Linked DNA regions of Drosophila melanogaster. The protein of the gene in region 1 purifies or fractionates together with the protein of each later gene. This does not show direct contact. Each region holds a gene or a part of one and is shown on either strand. Other genes may lie near its edges.

Region 1 (5,960 bases):
CGGTTATTTGCTTAAGAAGCTCTGCATTCGTTTTAGCCCCGGGGAGCTGGCCGGCTTCGTTCCCGGCGATGACGATGTAATCCATCGCCGGCTGAAGATGATCCGCAAGCGTACGCGCAGGGATTTGCGCAAGAAACAGAACTTGGAAGCGCAGGAGGATAGCTCCGATGATGAGCTGGTCAGCGGTCTGCAGGAAAAGAGCTACACGTAAGCGTTTTTCATACACAGTAATTACCCAAATAACTAAAAAAAATCCCTTCCACAGCATTGATGATATGCTAGCTGACTCCGATTCGGATCTGCCCGAAGATATGGACGCTAAGGATGAGGCCGGAGCTGCAGCCGCAGCTAGCAAGCGTAGCAAGAATGCTAAGCAACAGAAGAGCACTTACATTCGCGAGGATCCCGATGAGATAGTCGATTTGGCCGATCTCAAGTCCATTGGCAATGTGCTGAGTAAGTTGAAGTCGTTTGAAAATCGCACAAATCATCACTTTTTTTGTTTCTTTGCCTTTGCCCCACTCCAGCCAGTGGCTCCGCTCAAACGGCCACCCCTGCCCAGAGTCAAAAGACGAAAGCTCAGCTGCCGAACGGTGGCTTCAAGACTGCCGACGATGGACGCCTGATCATCAGCGACAAGGCACTTCGTGGCCAGGGCGGTAACGATCAGTCCGATGACGACTCGGATTCCGATGCATCCATGGCGTATGGCACTGTAGCCAAGCAGCCCAAGGTTAAGCGTGGCATGGAAGACGATTCGAGCGACGAAGATAAACTGCAGCAGAAGCTAGTACCCAAGCGTGTACGCAAGGGTGATGATGCGATGAGCATGAAATCGGGCAAAACCACTGCCAGTAGTCGCTACACTGCCGGTGGCAAGGGCATTCATCGACAGCTGACAGCTGGAAACTCGGATGCCATGTCCGTGAAGTCAGGCAAATCCACCAGCCGCCCAGCGGGCAGTGAGTACGGCAGCAAGAAGGCCAAGGGTGATATGAAGAAGAGCGGAAAACTGGATCCATATGCGTATATACCACTCACTAGGAATAACCTGAACAAGAGGTGTGTATCCAAAATGTTTAATATTATTAATATACCCGTCCCTATCTAATACTCCATCTCTTTCGCCCCCAGAAAACGTTCAATGAATTCGCGAAAATTCAAGAGCGTATTGCGAGGAGCTGGCGCTGAAAATGGAGGAGCCGGCGGTGGCCGGGTGTCCAAGAAATACAAATAGGGCAGACGATTCAAGCCAACTGGCTAACAGGCTCGTAAAGCTATAGAGATATAGAGATGTATAATAACACTGGGATAGTGCGGTCTGTTGATAAGGAAGCTAAGACGTTGATGATTATTTCCCCTGTTACTTTGCTTAAATATATAAATATAACTTAATATATATATATGAACATGTGGAGACGTTGTAAATGCCACAGATAAAGAAAAACAGAAACAGAATAGTTATGTATTTTTTTTTTTTTTTGTTTTGATCTGCAAAGACTTTGAATAAAGAATTTTGAAAGCAACATAGTTCGATGCGTGGCAGAAAGAAGAGCAGTAACGTTAGATTAAATCCACACAAGCTTTATGTTCTTTAAAGATATAGTAAATATGACTATTTATTATCGCAAATGCCAGAGTCAAAATACAGATTGGTAGAATATTAGCCAATTAGGTTATTCTACAAAAGAGGAAAGTCTTCGAACGAGATAGTTGCGTCAAGAAGTTGCGTCATCCTGTCCGTGGTCAAACGCCGTTTTGAAAATCCTTTTCAATGTGGGTCTTGTTCCATTCGCCGTGCGGATCCAATCCAGTCATTGTCTCCTCAATGAAGTGCATCTTATTCTCGCTGTCCACCAGGACAACGGAGTGTGTACGGCTGCCATAGGCATGCTCTTCGATATGGACGTTTAGGGAACTCAATCCCTCGCCCCAGTTGGGCGCACGTGTCTTTAGCTCGTCGTCCGGCCAGAATTTGTGCTTGTTGCGGAGCAACTGCATCAGCTGGGCGGACAGAGTCTCCACGCTGGCTTCCCCATGAGCCTTAACGATCGCCTCGAACTCCTGTTTGCCATGACGCACCTTCTCGAACGGAGAGTGCGGCAGACTGTTGCCAAATCCGTAGCACTCGCCGTTCTGGAAATCCTCCAGCGTGGGCGGCACATTGCTCAGCAGCTTCACGCGAGCGGGCTGGGATGCAGATCTGTTGAGAACGAAGGCGTGCAGTAGATGGTATCAATGTTTCGCTAATGGTTCCCTAATGTTATTGCATATTATTCAGAATTTATACGTATAATTCGGAGATAAAGACAGCATAAAGCAATATATGTACATACTAATATGCATATAATTAGAATATATAATAATTCAGGTTAACCTGAATGGGCGCAGACTCACCCAATTTCGATGGACACAAAGTTGAAGGCAGAATACTTGGTGCAATCTTTGAGCAGCCTTTCGTTGTAGTTCAGGATGCTGTGCTCCTCGTCCGCCCGGGTAACATAGTCCGCCACAATCATGCCGCGCCCTAGTAAGAAATGTTCGTTATTCGATTGCCCCCTACTCGGATTCGTATTCGGGTTCTGAATTGGATTCGGATTCGGATGACGGTAGCTGTTGGAGGTGGTGGTCTTGGGGCAAAGGTTAATGCCGGTGCTGTTGCTGTTGTGATTATGCGGTTGCAAAATGTTTTTGTGCGCTTCAAACAGAAAACAGAAACGAAGAAAGTTTGTTTTTGCTTTGCTTTTTCTTTGGTCGCGGTTGTGAAAGTTTTAGTTCGGGCCAAGTGTTAGGTGTATGGATGAGTGTGTGTGCGTGTGTGTGCGCGTCAATTTGGATTAGTAAGTAGCTCAAATGGGTTTACCAACTGCATCGCGTGGCTTGGGCTCGCCGGTCAGATTGAGCAGGGCGCCCACCTTAAAGAAGCCAGCGGAGTGGCCGATCGCCAGCCAGGTGCCGCCCTCGCGTCCCGGCTCCAGATCGATCCCTGAAATGGGGGAATACATAAATATTTACTCAAGTTGATCCCGCACTCATGGGTAAGATGGCTTGAAATCCAATTAGGTTGCTGGGAAACAGATCTTGTGAGAGGTGTTCATTCTAACAAACTGCTATCAAATCATCTTAGTGACTAAACTATAGGTAACATCTTGATGAATACAAGCTCTCAAGGATTATACTCCATCTAAGCATAGGCATTCAAGGGCATAAGCCCCACCACTTACCTCCGTAAACATGATCGGCATTCGCCCACTTGGCTGCCGATAGGGTGGCGCGGGCAAAGAACTCGTCCCGATTGGAGGCCAGGATGAGCTTGTAGCCACCCGGTTGCGGATTCGAGTCCGCACAAAAGAATATCACGCACATCGTCGGAATCCTATACTTATTTGGCTATTGTTGCGATTTGTAGTGCCTTGAGGTTGTGGGACAACTGCGAATGGGATCCGGAAAAGTGGGCTTTAATCTCGGTGGGGCGTCGGTATCAAAATGGCAGGTTGTTCGGCTCAGTCTTCTCTTTGTTACTTTGTGGCAGTGGAACTATAGCGCCGGTTTTATCACCAAATAGCCGTACGTACGTACAGCTGATATACAGTCTTATCCGTTGTTTGCGAGACCAGCTAATCTAAGTGGTAAATGTAAATGGTTTGGATTGGTGGGTGTTCTCTGTGAGCCGTGCCTCTATGTGATATATACATATCTACGGGGCAAAAAGCATTCCCGTTAACGCAAACAAAGCAGTATTTTCTGAAATTTCAATGACCGGGTTGCCTTGTTTTGATTTCTCTTTTAATTTTGTTTTTGTTTTGTTTTGGCGTTGCCAGCTGACAGGAGAATCGATAAGAAAATCGTTAACACTCTGCTGCCCTGTGCAATATTCTTTTAGCTATTTTATTAATTGCTAATTATTTATTTGTGCAGTCTATGACTTATCTTAATTTGTACTTTTAAATTTGAAGATTTTAGTTCCTCATCGTGCGCTGAAACAATGATTGACCAATATGATTGTGTAATTTATTTCCAAAGCCATATATAACGTATATATAAACATATTAGTTTTTTTTGTCGCCTGTGCCGATCCAGATAACAAACTACTATTTTGAAATTGGCGTAACAGGTAGGTAGGCATTATCGCCAGTTGCCCATCTCTATTGTATGACCGTGGGCCCGGCAATCGATTGGCTTACAACTTATCGATGTTTGAAAACTAACCAAAAACCCTGTAACATAGGCTTGTAATTAAAACTAGAAAATACCATTACATAGCTATGCACTGCAATGCATAAATTAACTAACAGACCTATACAGGCCCTTAAATTGGTAAGAAAACTGATCGCTAAAATTAAAGCGAAAGAGTGGATTTTTTAGGACAAAAATACCGGTCGGTCGAGAACATTTGGGGGGAAAATCATGTCGCCATCTGGTAACACTGGCATTCAGCAGAGCAGTGAAAACGACGTTAATATTTCTGATCAATTAAACAATTGGAAAATCCGGCCGCAGATCGCGATCTAAACGTATCGCCCTCGCCACGCCCACTGCCGCCCACGCCCCCTGGCGCGGGGTCACATCGATAGAGAGCTTTGCGTGTGTGTGTGTGTGCGTGCGTGTATGTGTCGGTCGAGAGGAGAGGTGGAAGACGAAGAAGAATAAAAAAAACAGGCAGCGAAAAGCGATAAGAAACGGAACACAACACACTGGAAAAAAATTGCGATAAGAAACGGGGCGGAGCGGAGCGGAAATTGCCAAGACTCTGGGATGGATTAGCGGCACAGCCGGACTCTGAGGTTAGCCAACAGTGGGATTAGGACCAGGAACAGCCATGTCCTCCGCCGTTAACATCCAGATCGTCTCTATGCCGAATCTGGCCAAGATCGAGAGCTTCCTGAAGGATGTCAGCTACCGGGAGACGATCGAGTACAGTGCCAACTTCAACACGCGCCTGTGCAGCGAACGGCGCCACCGGCTGCCCTTCCTCGATCCGCAGACAGGCGTCGCCCAGAACCACTCGCAGCTCTTCCTGGACAAGCGACAGCGGATGCCCGGCTTCCGGCAGGGCCAGATCTACACGTATCCGGCGGCCCGCTGGCGGAAGAGCCGTCGTCAGTACTTGAGCAAGATGTACAGGTGAGGAATCGTAACCAATCGGTGCGGGATTTGAGTGACTGGCACATGCACAAGGAAAAGTTAGGTATAACTCTGGCGAAGCAAATTAGAGCTTGGAAATCTAGGAGTCTGTTACCTATGGTAATCTTATTTAAAACGAGTTAGGTTAGAAGAATATCATCTGTGTATATGCCATTCAATCTCATCAAATCCTACATTTTTCGTTGGGTGAGCTCCATATTTATCCCTGCTAATAACGAACTTTCCACTTATACAGCCGCTTTCCCGAGCGTCCCTTCCAGGCGCTACGCAAGGAGCACGAAGCTCTGGTGGCCAGCGGCGTCAATCTGGGACTGAGCAGCCTGACCAGCGGTGTGGGCTCCATGCCCGGCAGCAATAGCCTGGCCAGCAGCTCCTCCCTAACGCTCAATATGCTTACGGGCGGCGGAGCCGCGCCGGCCGTACTTGGTTCCCTGCACAGTGACACTGCCCACGATTTTAATGGAGCCTTCAGCCTGGAGGAGTCCAGCTCGCTGGGTGCCGCCGGCGGTGATACATCCGACAGCAAGGACAGTCAACAGCAACAACATCAGCAGCACCAGCACCAGCAGCAGGCCGTCAAAGAGGAGCTTTTGCCCAAGGAGTGGTTCTACGATGACATGGATATGAACGATGTGGACTCGCTGGAGGAGCCCAAATCGCCGGCGGATGATGAGTACGATTATGATCCGCGCTATGGTAACAAAAAAAGGCGCAAGCGGCGACCAGGCAAGCGAGGTGGAGATTCCGGCGGCGGTGGTGGTGGAGGAGGCGCCGGCGGTGGCGGCAATTCCGGCGGTAGCTCCAGCTCGCGGAGA
Region 2 (9,186 bases), 7.4 Mb from region 1:
ATATGTACTTCTGCTTGCTACCAGCCGAAATTATTCTAAAAACATATATTTATTTTAATGGTTAGGTTTTGAAATTAATAAAGCAGTTGATGTTAAGTTAAGATAAATAGGTTCAACATGTGGCATAAACACTCTATAGAGAACTAATTTAAAAATTAAAAATAGATTTGTTCAGCTGTAACAACTTATTTTGCATGTTTTCAAATTGACCATAGAACACAGGAAGTGTTATTGTTTTAGTCAGGAACAAAGTATATATTACTTAGATATATATTTTTAGTCAGAATTGACACCCAACTAAATCTTACCGTGTCTGTTTATTTCCACGTAATCGTATTTACTTAAACTATTAAACCTATTGCAGGTATTAGATAAGGCAATAACAGGCCGGGTCGGAAATGTAATTACTAATCTAATTTTATATAAACTATATAATTTAGCTGAACTAGGAGCGAGCGGAATGGGATTTGCAGTTTAACGTTCGTAAAAAATACAGGAAAAATAAATAGAAATAAAATACATTTTATTAAAACAGGACGACTGTAGTCGTCCAAGCTAGTGGTAGCTAAGTTACTATAGGTGAAGGGTATATAAAATTCGGCTTACTTTTTATGTTGCTCTAAGCTTTTAATTGCACTTAAAAAGTACAGTACTTGTAATATATTAAAAAATATATTCCATGCATTACAAATCCACTTTTATATCTGAAAAGCGTTGCAACACAACCTTACAACCTAATAATTCCCATGAAGTCCATAAGATTATTCATGATTTGAGGAAGTGATTTCCCCGGCGATATGTTTTCCATTATCCACTTGATTACCATCGGAAAATTGGCGACCCGTTGGCCCCGATTCCGCGAATTAGCTCCGATCTTGGGCCCCGAAGGTTAGGCAGCAAATTTGGGGTAATGGCAATGCGAGCACAATGAGTCCGAGTCCATTGGGCGGCTGCCCACTGTCCACTGGCCACCCACCGGCACAGAGCATGCATGCAGATACAGACATTATGCTCCACTCAATCAAGCTGGAAGGGATGGGGCTCGAGTGCAGCTGGCAGCGGAGAACGCAGACGGTCTCCACTTCAGAGATGGAACCGAGAGGCCCGGCGGACGTGGTGGACGTGGGCGGATACACAGGGATGGGAACAAGAATGAAAAGCCTATTTCCTAAGTGTAATTAATTAATTTCGCTGGCTGGGCCCGACTGCGCCCAACTGCAAACTGCAGCCGCATTTGCCTGCCATCCGTCATCCATTTCCGAATCAGAATCAGTTTGTCCAGCGCTCTGCCGTCGCGAGCACGCTCCAAAGAGGCCAATCGGAAGAACTTTGGAACTTTCTTGAGTTGCGACACGTACATTTTCAAGCTGGACCACATTTTCGAGGACTGTCAGCGGCAGCAGTTTCACAAAATGTCTCATGGCGAGCGAAAAGGCCGCCTCAATGTGGTCAAGTTTCTCGAACTGGTAAAGGATTTTTTTTTCAAGTGATTTTACTGCAAGTTCTAAGGATTAATGAATTAATGCAAAAAGCAACGCGTATGCTTACTAAACAATGGTTTGTCAAAAAAAAAAAAAAAAAAAAAAAAAACGACTTGGGAATTAAAAGAAAAGACCCGAAATACCAGATAGACTCGGAAATTATAAGAACACCAAGAAGCACCACAAATGAAAATCCCCTCACTTTTCCAGGGTTTTGCGGTAGCGTGTCTGGTGCTCCACTTCTACAGCTTCAACGATCGCGATATAATGACTTCGTTCCTGGCCACTGGCACCTTCACGGGCTACATCATAGTGGTCATCGGGGTCTTTGCAGGTACGCCTTGGAATGCCAGTCCTTAAGAGTTAAAATACTAAAATAAGTTAACCAAAAACGAAATTTGCACACAAATCTACTTAAGATACCTTGCAATTGCAGGCGTTCTGATGCGGGCACCCATTCACAAGCGCATCGATATATTCTTCAGCGTCCTGGGCTGCACCTTGTTCGTGGCCAGCGGTGTGTTCATCATTGAGGCCTGGGAGTTCTCCTTCCGCACCCGAACTCGGGATCTCGCGCTCATCAAGGCCTCGCTGTCCATCGTCAATGGGGTGCTATTCGGATTCGATGCGGTGTTCACATTTCGCGACAAGTGAATCGTTCAGTTTTTAGACGGAAACCACTGGCCAGATCCGCTGGAGCTTCTTTCGTATGCATTTAATAGCTTATAAGGGTATACATATCTTTCCGGTTCAACTGGCCATTCCGCCAATCATACAAACAACCAAACTGTTAACGTTTATCTTTATATTTAAGTGTTTTTTTTTTCTCTCAATAAAAAGTAATTCGCCATCGCTCAATTAGTCATATGAGAAAGCAAGAGTCGATACTTGCGACTGTGTGTGGTGCAGTCCCGGTACTCAAGTAATTGTTTACAGAGCGAGACACTCGACACAATACATTTGCAATACGGCTATCTAAAATAATCCTCATAATTAAAGTACAAATAATTCAATTGGAAATATAAACGGTCTAGAAAATCACTCTAAACTTATGTAGGCGATGATCCCGGCCTGCTGTTCCTGCTCATTTCACGGGAATTCGAAATACGAGCTTGTAGCACGGCACATACCACCAAATTCGATAGTCCTAGCTAAATTAGATCGCGAGATCCAGGTGTTCGCAGAACATATAATTCTAGGGTTCCGTGGATCGTAAAGCGAGAGTACCGGCAACAATGGGACACAAATGAAGGTGAGCTGGCGGCCCATTTTGTTGACATCGTAATAGTAGTTAGCGTTATTTTCTTATTTTTTTATTGTTTTTTTTTTTTTTTTCTTTTTCTAACTTTTGTATTTGCTGATAATCGTGAGACCGCTGGCTGGCTTTGTTATATTTTTTTTTTCTGAGTTCCACTGCCGAGCTTGTTGTTATCATCTGGCGCTGGGCATCTTTGGATGTCGATTATGTGTGGTGCTGAGTGGTGTGCATACGTAGGTAAGTGGAGTGCTCCTAGGCAGAGTTGTGGATGTTGAGACGGAAGATGTCGTGGGCCACAAAGAAGGTGCCTGCGTTGGCCTTCAGGAAAAAGACCTGCGAGAAGGCATGTGGGGGATCGTCATCGCACTGCAAAGGAATGAAATCATAAATACGTTAGCAGATGCCAGGCAAACCAGTCACATTTAAAGTCAATAACACAAGCGTGCGAAAAACCAATTTCAACGTATTGAGTTAGATATGAATGGAGTACACACAGTTTGAAGCCAGGGTCAGAGGGAAAGGGTGTACAACTGGCAGCCGATTGATCGTGTAAGGTGCGTGTTTACTGTACAGGGCTCGCTCGATAAATTGAACATAACTCCAAAACATTTTCACGAGCAGAATAAACTTTATACCAAATGTGCGAGCAAAATTATTATTCACTGATATAAGAACTTCTCAAAACTTTCCTCAGTTCCATTCAAAATTGAACAACATTTGAAAGTTTTTTTTTTAAGGCATATTAGGGTGCGCTTAACAATTTGGGATATTTACAGTTCTCTTCTTCGAGCTATTGAACAAAACAATATGCAAGTTAAGACTAGTCAATTGGTATTTGGTTTTGTAACAAATGAAAAACAGAATTTTTATAAGTGCAATATCAATTGAAAGCATCTAAAAATATAATATAAATATAAACCGTTTAGTTAAAAATGTAAAGCAATAGAGGTTACAGAAATTGTTTGTGTTACATTAAAATTGCATTATTAGGAGGTTCCAGGTCCCCAGCGACCAACCGAAAGAAAGAGCAAATCCAACTCAAAATCAACGAAAACCATGCACGAAATGAAATGCGCAACATTTTGATTTGATTAATTTTCGTTGGACATTCACGTACTGTGAGAATAATTAGAAGAAATTGGACGACGACGAGACGCCAAGGATAAATATTTTTGTATATGTGGGCGGAGTGGGCATGGCTGGGCGGCATAAGGTCGACAAGCAGCAGAACTATCTTATCGCTTAGATATGGATTTCTTTCGTTTTTTAACTGGCTCTCGTCTCGTGTCTGCTGGCTGATCGTTTGGCTGCTGATCTCGATCTCGATTTACACACATATAGCCGGGCGCTGGAGTCTGTGGACTGGGCGTGGCAGGTCGGGCTCGCTGGTGCTACACATCGTGCAGCGAGAGTCGGAATATATCGTGCTGCACAAAGAAACTGCCGCCCACCGGCTTCAATACGAAGGTCTGAATATAGGCATGCGGCTGATCCTCGTCGGTCTGCATTGGTTTGTTTTGGCATTTGTGTTTCGTTTTGTAATAACCAGAATTGAGATATTCGATTCAGATTCAGGTGACTTATATGGAATAATAGATGCAGCGGCGGTCGGCAAATAGCACTGCCCTTACGACTTTACGGAAGAATGATGAATGATTTCATATCTTAAGTGATGGGCGATTGAAATTTGCTTCTACGTCTCTACATATATCCACTTTGAACAATAAGGTATCGTAAAATACATTGAGGCAGTTACTCTTTTTAAAATTCATTTCATTTATCTACCTACTATAACTGCATCAATAAGTCAATGGATATTATATTCAAAACAAGAGAGAATGCTATGGTCGACTTTTCCGACTGGAAGTGAGAACGCGAAATTTCATATTGAACAATATGAGTGGGCGTGGCAACATGGATCAACAAACTTGCGCTGCGTCGGTGTCTCTAGGATCGGTCTGCTTAATATCAACCTTCTAGCTTTTATAGTTCCTGAGATCTCGACGTTCATATGGAGAGGGCCAGATCGACTCGGCTATTGATCCTGATCAAGAATATATATACTACATTTTGTCGAAAACGATTGCTTCTACATGTTACATACTTTTTAACGAATATAGTATACTCTTTAACTGCACTAGTAACGGGTATAATGTATCTTAGAATGAAGAACACTTAATGGAATAAAGTGGCAGGCTTAATAAAGCCCATACATGATAACAAATAAATGGGAAACAGTGCAAAATAAATAATGTTCTTATGTGAAAGCCAAAACAAAACGTTCTATTTGTTACAAAAACGATTGTCAAGCATTTACGTGTTGAAAAGACCAAAAATAAAATTCAAAACTTGAAAAGAAAATCGATTGAATTGGTCGGCAGTGCTAATATTCTAACCGCCGCCGCAGGCAGTCATTGAATTTCCCCCCGACAGCGAGTTTAGGACAGTTTTCTTGTTGAGAATTCTGGTTTTACCTGTAGTCTTCCAAGGACGTTGATCAGAACTCCGCCATCGAAAGTTGGCTGCGAGTCCACTGTGGTTATCACTCTGGTAATCTTCTGAAAGCTCAGACTCTGCAGGAATAGGAAGGGTATGCAAAATATTATACATATGCCCATGACTGTATATAATCAGGACTTACCTGAACTTTTTCCAGAATCTTGGGTGCCCCCTGTATTTGGTGGCCTTCAAAGGTCATGAATGAGTCGGTAGCCTGGAAGTATAAAATATATAATGATATAAGTGTTATGATGATGTTTTACTTAGTAATGATATTTCGTATTATTAAGAACAAAATTGGTTATAAAACTGTTAATATTTAAATTAAAAACATATCAAACAGATAGTTTTATTTTCAATACTTTATCATTATAGACTTTTTTATTCTTTCATTTACTCTTTTATGTGACAAAAAAACTGAATTGATTGAAACTAATGAAACACAATTATGCCATATTTTTCAAGATATTAATACAATTTTTTCACGAATTTATATCGTATATTGGGCCCTATTGTGCTAACCGCAGTTGTATGTTGGCCATATATTTCGTATGTGTGTATTTATTTATGCGAGCATGGGCGTAATGTGTCACCCGAAACTTCGAGAATCGAACGCTGCCCCCGCCCCTATCAACATTCATCCTATTCCCACGATATCACGGATACGCCGACCGTATATCTCCAGCTGCTCTTTTTCGCGCTCTTTTTCGCATTGCAACAGTTTCTTTATTCATTTTCTGCTGAAAGGAGGCGGAATTTTTCAAGGGCGCGCCGCGCGTCACCTGTGCGTGTGATGGGGATGGCAAGCGAAAAATGTGCAGGCGAAAGCGGAGACGGGAATAAAGGAGAGATGAAAGGCGACGAGCAGAAGCGGGAAGCAACAACACTTACGCTATAGAAATTAACCACGTTCGCCCGATTCGCCGGGTCATCGAATATCGCATAGTACTGCTGCACAAATCCCTTGCCAATGTCCTCGTACTGCGGATTCAGCGACATTTCACTTGAAGGATAGGCGGAACGCTCAGAGATTATGGGAAATCCGATCCGATCGCGGCGACACGAATAATTAAAAAAAAAACCAAATGAAATCAACCGACTGCGCTCAGATCACCACTCTTTGTTAGGGGTGGAACAACGTCGATTTTGTCAGACACTATCGCTGACTGCTATTTCGCAACTATCGATTACGATACCCAGGGCTACAGCCCGATGTCCTAATAACGAAATCGGAATTGGAATTTGAAATATGATTCGATGATGATAGGGTCACATAAATGTAAGAACAAATTATTGCATTTCTGTCAGGCGTAATACTTGGTCATTTGGAAAACAATTATTTGTGTTTCATATATTATTTTTTTTCCTCGCTCGGGACGACTTTTCTTTGATTTGTTGTTTAATTGCAGGTCATACTTAAGCTAACGCAACTTACAATCCATTGTAAGGTATCTAAAGTTGATTTTTAGATCCGTTTATTCATAATGTGGAATCGCTTGTATTTTCACAATTTTCAGACGGGAGGGATAAACCAGATATTGAAAGGATGATGTTTTCTTCACATTCGGAAAAGCATATATCCACCCCAATTTATTACTAAAATTAAATATTCATTGCCATTTGAAATGATATTAATATAATATTAATAATAATTTTATTTTCGATATACAAGTTTATAGAATTTATTAAAGCTAGTAAGCTGGATTGGTAACGATATCGATAAGAGTGACCGATCTGGTCACACCGGCAGTGCGTATGCATCGCAGCAGGAAAATTTGCGTTTGGCGCGCACAATTCGTGGCAATGCTCACCACATTTACGGACATCGCGCGCCTGCGCAGGAGTTGCCTCCATCACAACACACACCTATGTTTGGTTCGCAGGATTAGGTTTTTTTTAAATTCGTTTATTTGACATATTACATTTAGCTAAGAACAAAAATAAAAAACAGAAAAACAGTTGGATGGCATATTCAGTATGTGTCGCACGTTTCAAGGCACCTTTGAGCAGCATTATTACCGTCTTGCTGGTCGAGTCGGCAACGCCAACTTCAGCTCCTTGGAGTGCAGGGCGTTGGACATCACCGTGCGATCTTTGGTTTGACACCGTCTTTGCCCTTACTCGGTTCTTCATAGCTAAAGAGGCCATTAGGGATGGTCTGTTGGCTAGCATCAGTTCTTGCGGTGCATTTGGCATGCGAATTCTCCTCCTCCGGCAGCCTCACGCGCAGCTTTAGTTGGAGATCCTTCAATCTGGCAAATGTGTTCTTCATTGCCAGATTAATGCTCCTCACCCCGTTGTATAATATATCTCCCATCTCCTCGATTTCTAGAAAAGGGGGCCTTGCTGGTTGGGCTCTGTTTGGGGGGGAGGTCACTTATAATGGCCCCTTGGGGGTGCCATCGTTTGGCTTATAGGGTGGGGTCCTTAGAACCTTGGACTGCAAGGTGTGCGGCCCTATACCATTCGCCAGGTGATGGTTACGGTGCTGGCCGATGAGGCTCAGACACAAACCATTCCGCCGGCCACCTTGGCTCAGACGCAAAATGGGTTTTTATTATGCTGCTGCCCGGCTGGTCAAGAGAGCAAGCGCAGCGTCATGGACTTAAGGGTTGGGTGTGAAGGGTGAAGTTCCGACGGGGGACTCATAAGCGGAGGGGTTGGCTATTGGTCTGCTCCGTGATTTTTACACTATTACTGTGTGTTAGAGACAGTCACTCCTGTCTCTATTTAGCTGCCGCGACACGGAAAATTTTCGGGTTTTCCAGGAGCGTTAACTCGATTCGCCCGGCTACTCGCGCGCGTCCCCAGTGCTCTGATTACACAGGATTAGGTTTTTTTTTTTTTAATTCGTCTATTGAACATTTAAGATTAAGATTAACAGATTAACAATGTAAAAGTAAGGAGGGCAAATCCAGGACCCCCCGCGGTATGGCCGTGAAGCATTGCTTCGCGAGGACGATCAGGATTTGCAATGCAAAACAAGATTTTTTCGCATGGTGCCAATTGATCAAAAATAATATAGATTTAAAGTCTAAGAACTTCTGAGGTGAAGGGCATATTTTGTCAAATTTACAATGCATGAACATACGTGTGCACACATACAGTTGTCTGCTATTCGCTGTAGCGCTCTCCGCTCTCTCGCTCTCTAACAAAAATTCGAGAGAGCCTGGAGCCACCTCTAGAGCCACGGCCAAAAAATCGTGTGCCAAAAAATCGTATGGCGTTACGCATCTTGTTATTCTAGTGTCTTTGCATAAACCAAATCATAGAATGCCTTAGGATATAAGTCATAAATTCAAGTATCCCATAAGAACCCCAATTCTGGTGACAATAAAAAATCCAGCCTGCCCTAATGTAAACATTAACATCCGCTGCCGAATTCGCTATTCCCACCAAAGGGTCAAAACCGCTAACGCAGCTGAAGTTCTCGGCTGATCAGTACCCATGCGCGATCCACTCAAGAGGGCACCCAATCCACCAGACATAAACATCCGCAGCCGCATTCACGACTCCCACCAAAGGGTCAAAACCGCTTACGAAGCTCAAATCCTTGGCTTATCCCAGCATCCATGCACGATCCACTCAATTCATAGAAATACATAAGAGGAGCCCTCTTTAGCTTAACACATAAAGAAGTAAATTTCAGTCAAGGGTTTGCTAAGCATTCGCTTTGCAACTTACAATTAAATTTAATTCTTTCACTCTACGAATAAGACCTGAATTGTCTCCGCTTCCACACTTTTAATTTTATTTGAATAAATTACAATTCCAATAAATTAATATCATATATATTTTTATATTGTTTTGAAATTCTTACTCGTTTGCCTCTGACTAGGATATTTTCCACATGAACCGCGGTTAACGACCAAAATGGGCAATTCAGGATGACAACTGTTTGTAATTTTTGGTATATTTATATTTATATTTATTTATATTGGGTGATGA

The links.
Region 2: the proteins of Tango2 (region 1) and Ntf-2 purify together in Drosophila melanogaster (affinity purification with mass spectrometry, with the first as the bait; one large-scale study listed by BioGRID). This does not show direct contact.

The regions. Positions count from the first base shown.
Region 1 is NC_004354.4:13,614,840-13,620,799, reverse strand, and holds Tango2 (transport and golgi organization 2), read right to left. Parts: upstream 3,812-5,960; 5' UTR 3,367-3,811; coding exon 3,225-3,366; intron 2,987-3,224; coding exon 2,864-2,986; intron 2,699-2,863; coding exon 2,398-2,698; intron 2,204-2,397; coding exon 1,747-2,203; 3' UTR 1,593-1,746; downstream 1-1,592. Other genes in the region: CG2691 (uncharacterized protein), read left to right, coding at 1-207, 266-456, 528-1,062, 1,135-1,237; tth (toothrin), read left to right, coding at 4,820-5,124, 5,381-5,960. UniProt on the Drosophila melanogaster protein: May play a role in Golgi organization.
Region 2 is NC_004354.4:21,032,665-21,041,850, reverse strand, and holds Ntf-2 (nuclear transport factor-2), read right to left. Parts: upstream 6,383-9,186; 5' UTR 6,238-6,382; coding exon 6,130-6,237; intron 6,021-6,129; exon of another isoform or gene 5,761-6,020; intron 5,453-5,760; coding exon 5,381-5,452; intron 5,313-5,380; coding exon 5,214-5,312; intron 4,242-5,213; coding exon of another isoform or gene 4,131-4,241; exon of another isoform or gene 3,857-4,130; intron 3,106-3,856; coding exon 2,992-3,105; 3' UTR 2,136-2,991; coding exon of another isoform or gene 1,918-2,135; 3' UTR 1,905-1,917; intron 1,837-1,904; 3' UTR 1,816-1,836; coding exon of another isoform or gene 1,692-1,815; 3' UTR 1,467-1,691; coding exon of another isoform or gene 1,413-1,466; 3' UTR 384-1,412; downstream 1-383. Other genes in the region: CG15449 (uncharacterized protein), read left to right, coding at 1,413-1,466, 1,692-1,815, 1,918-2,135.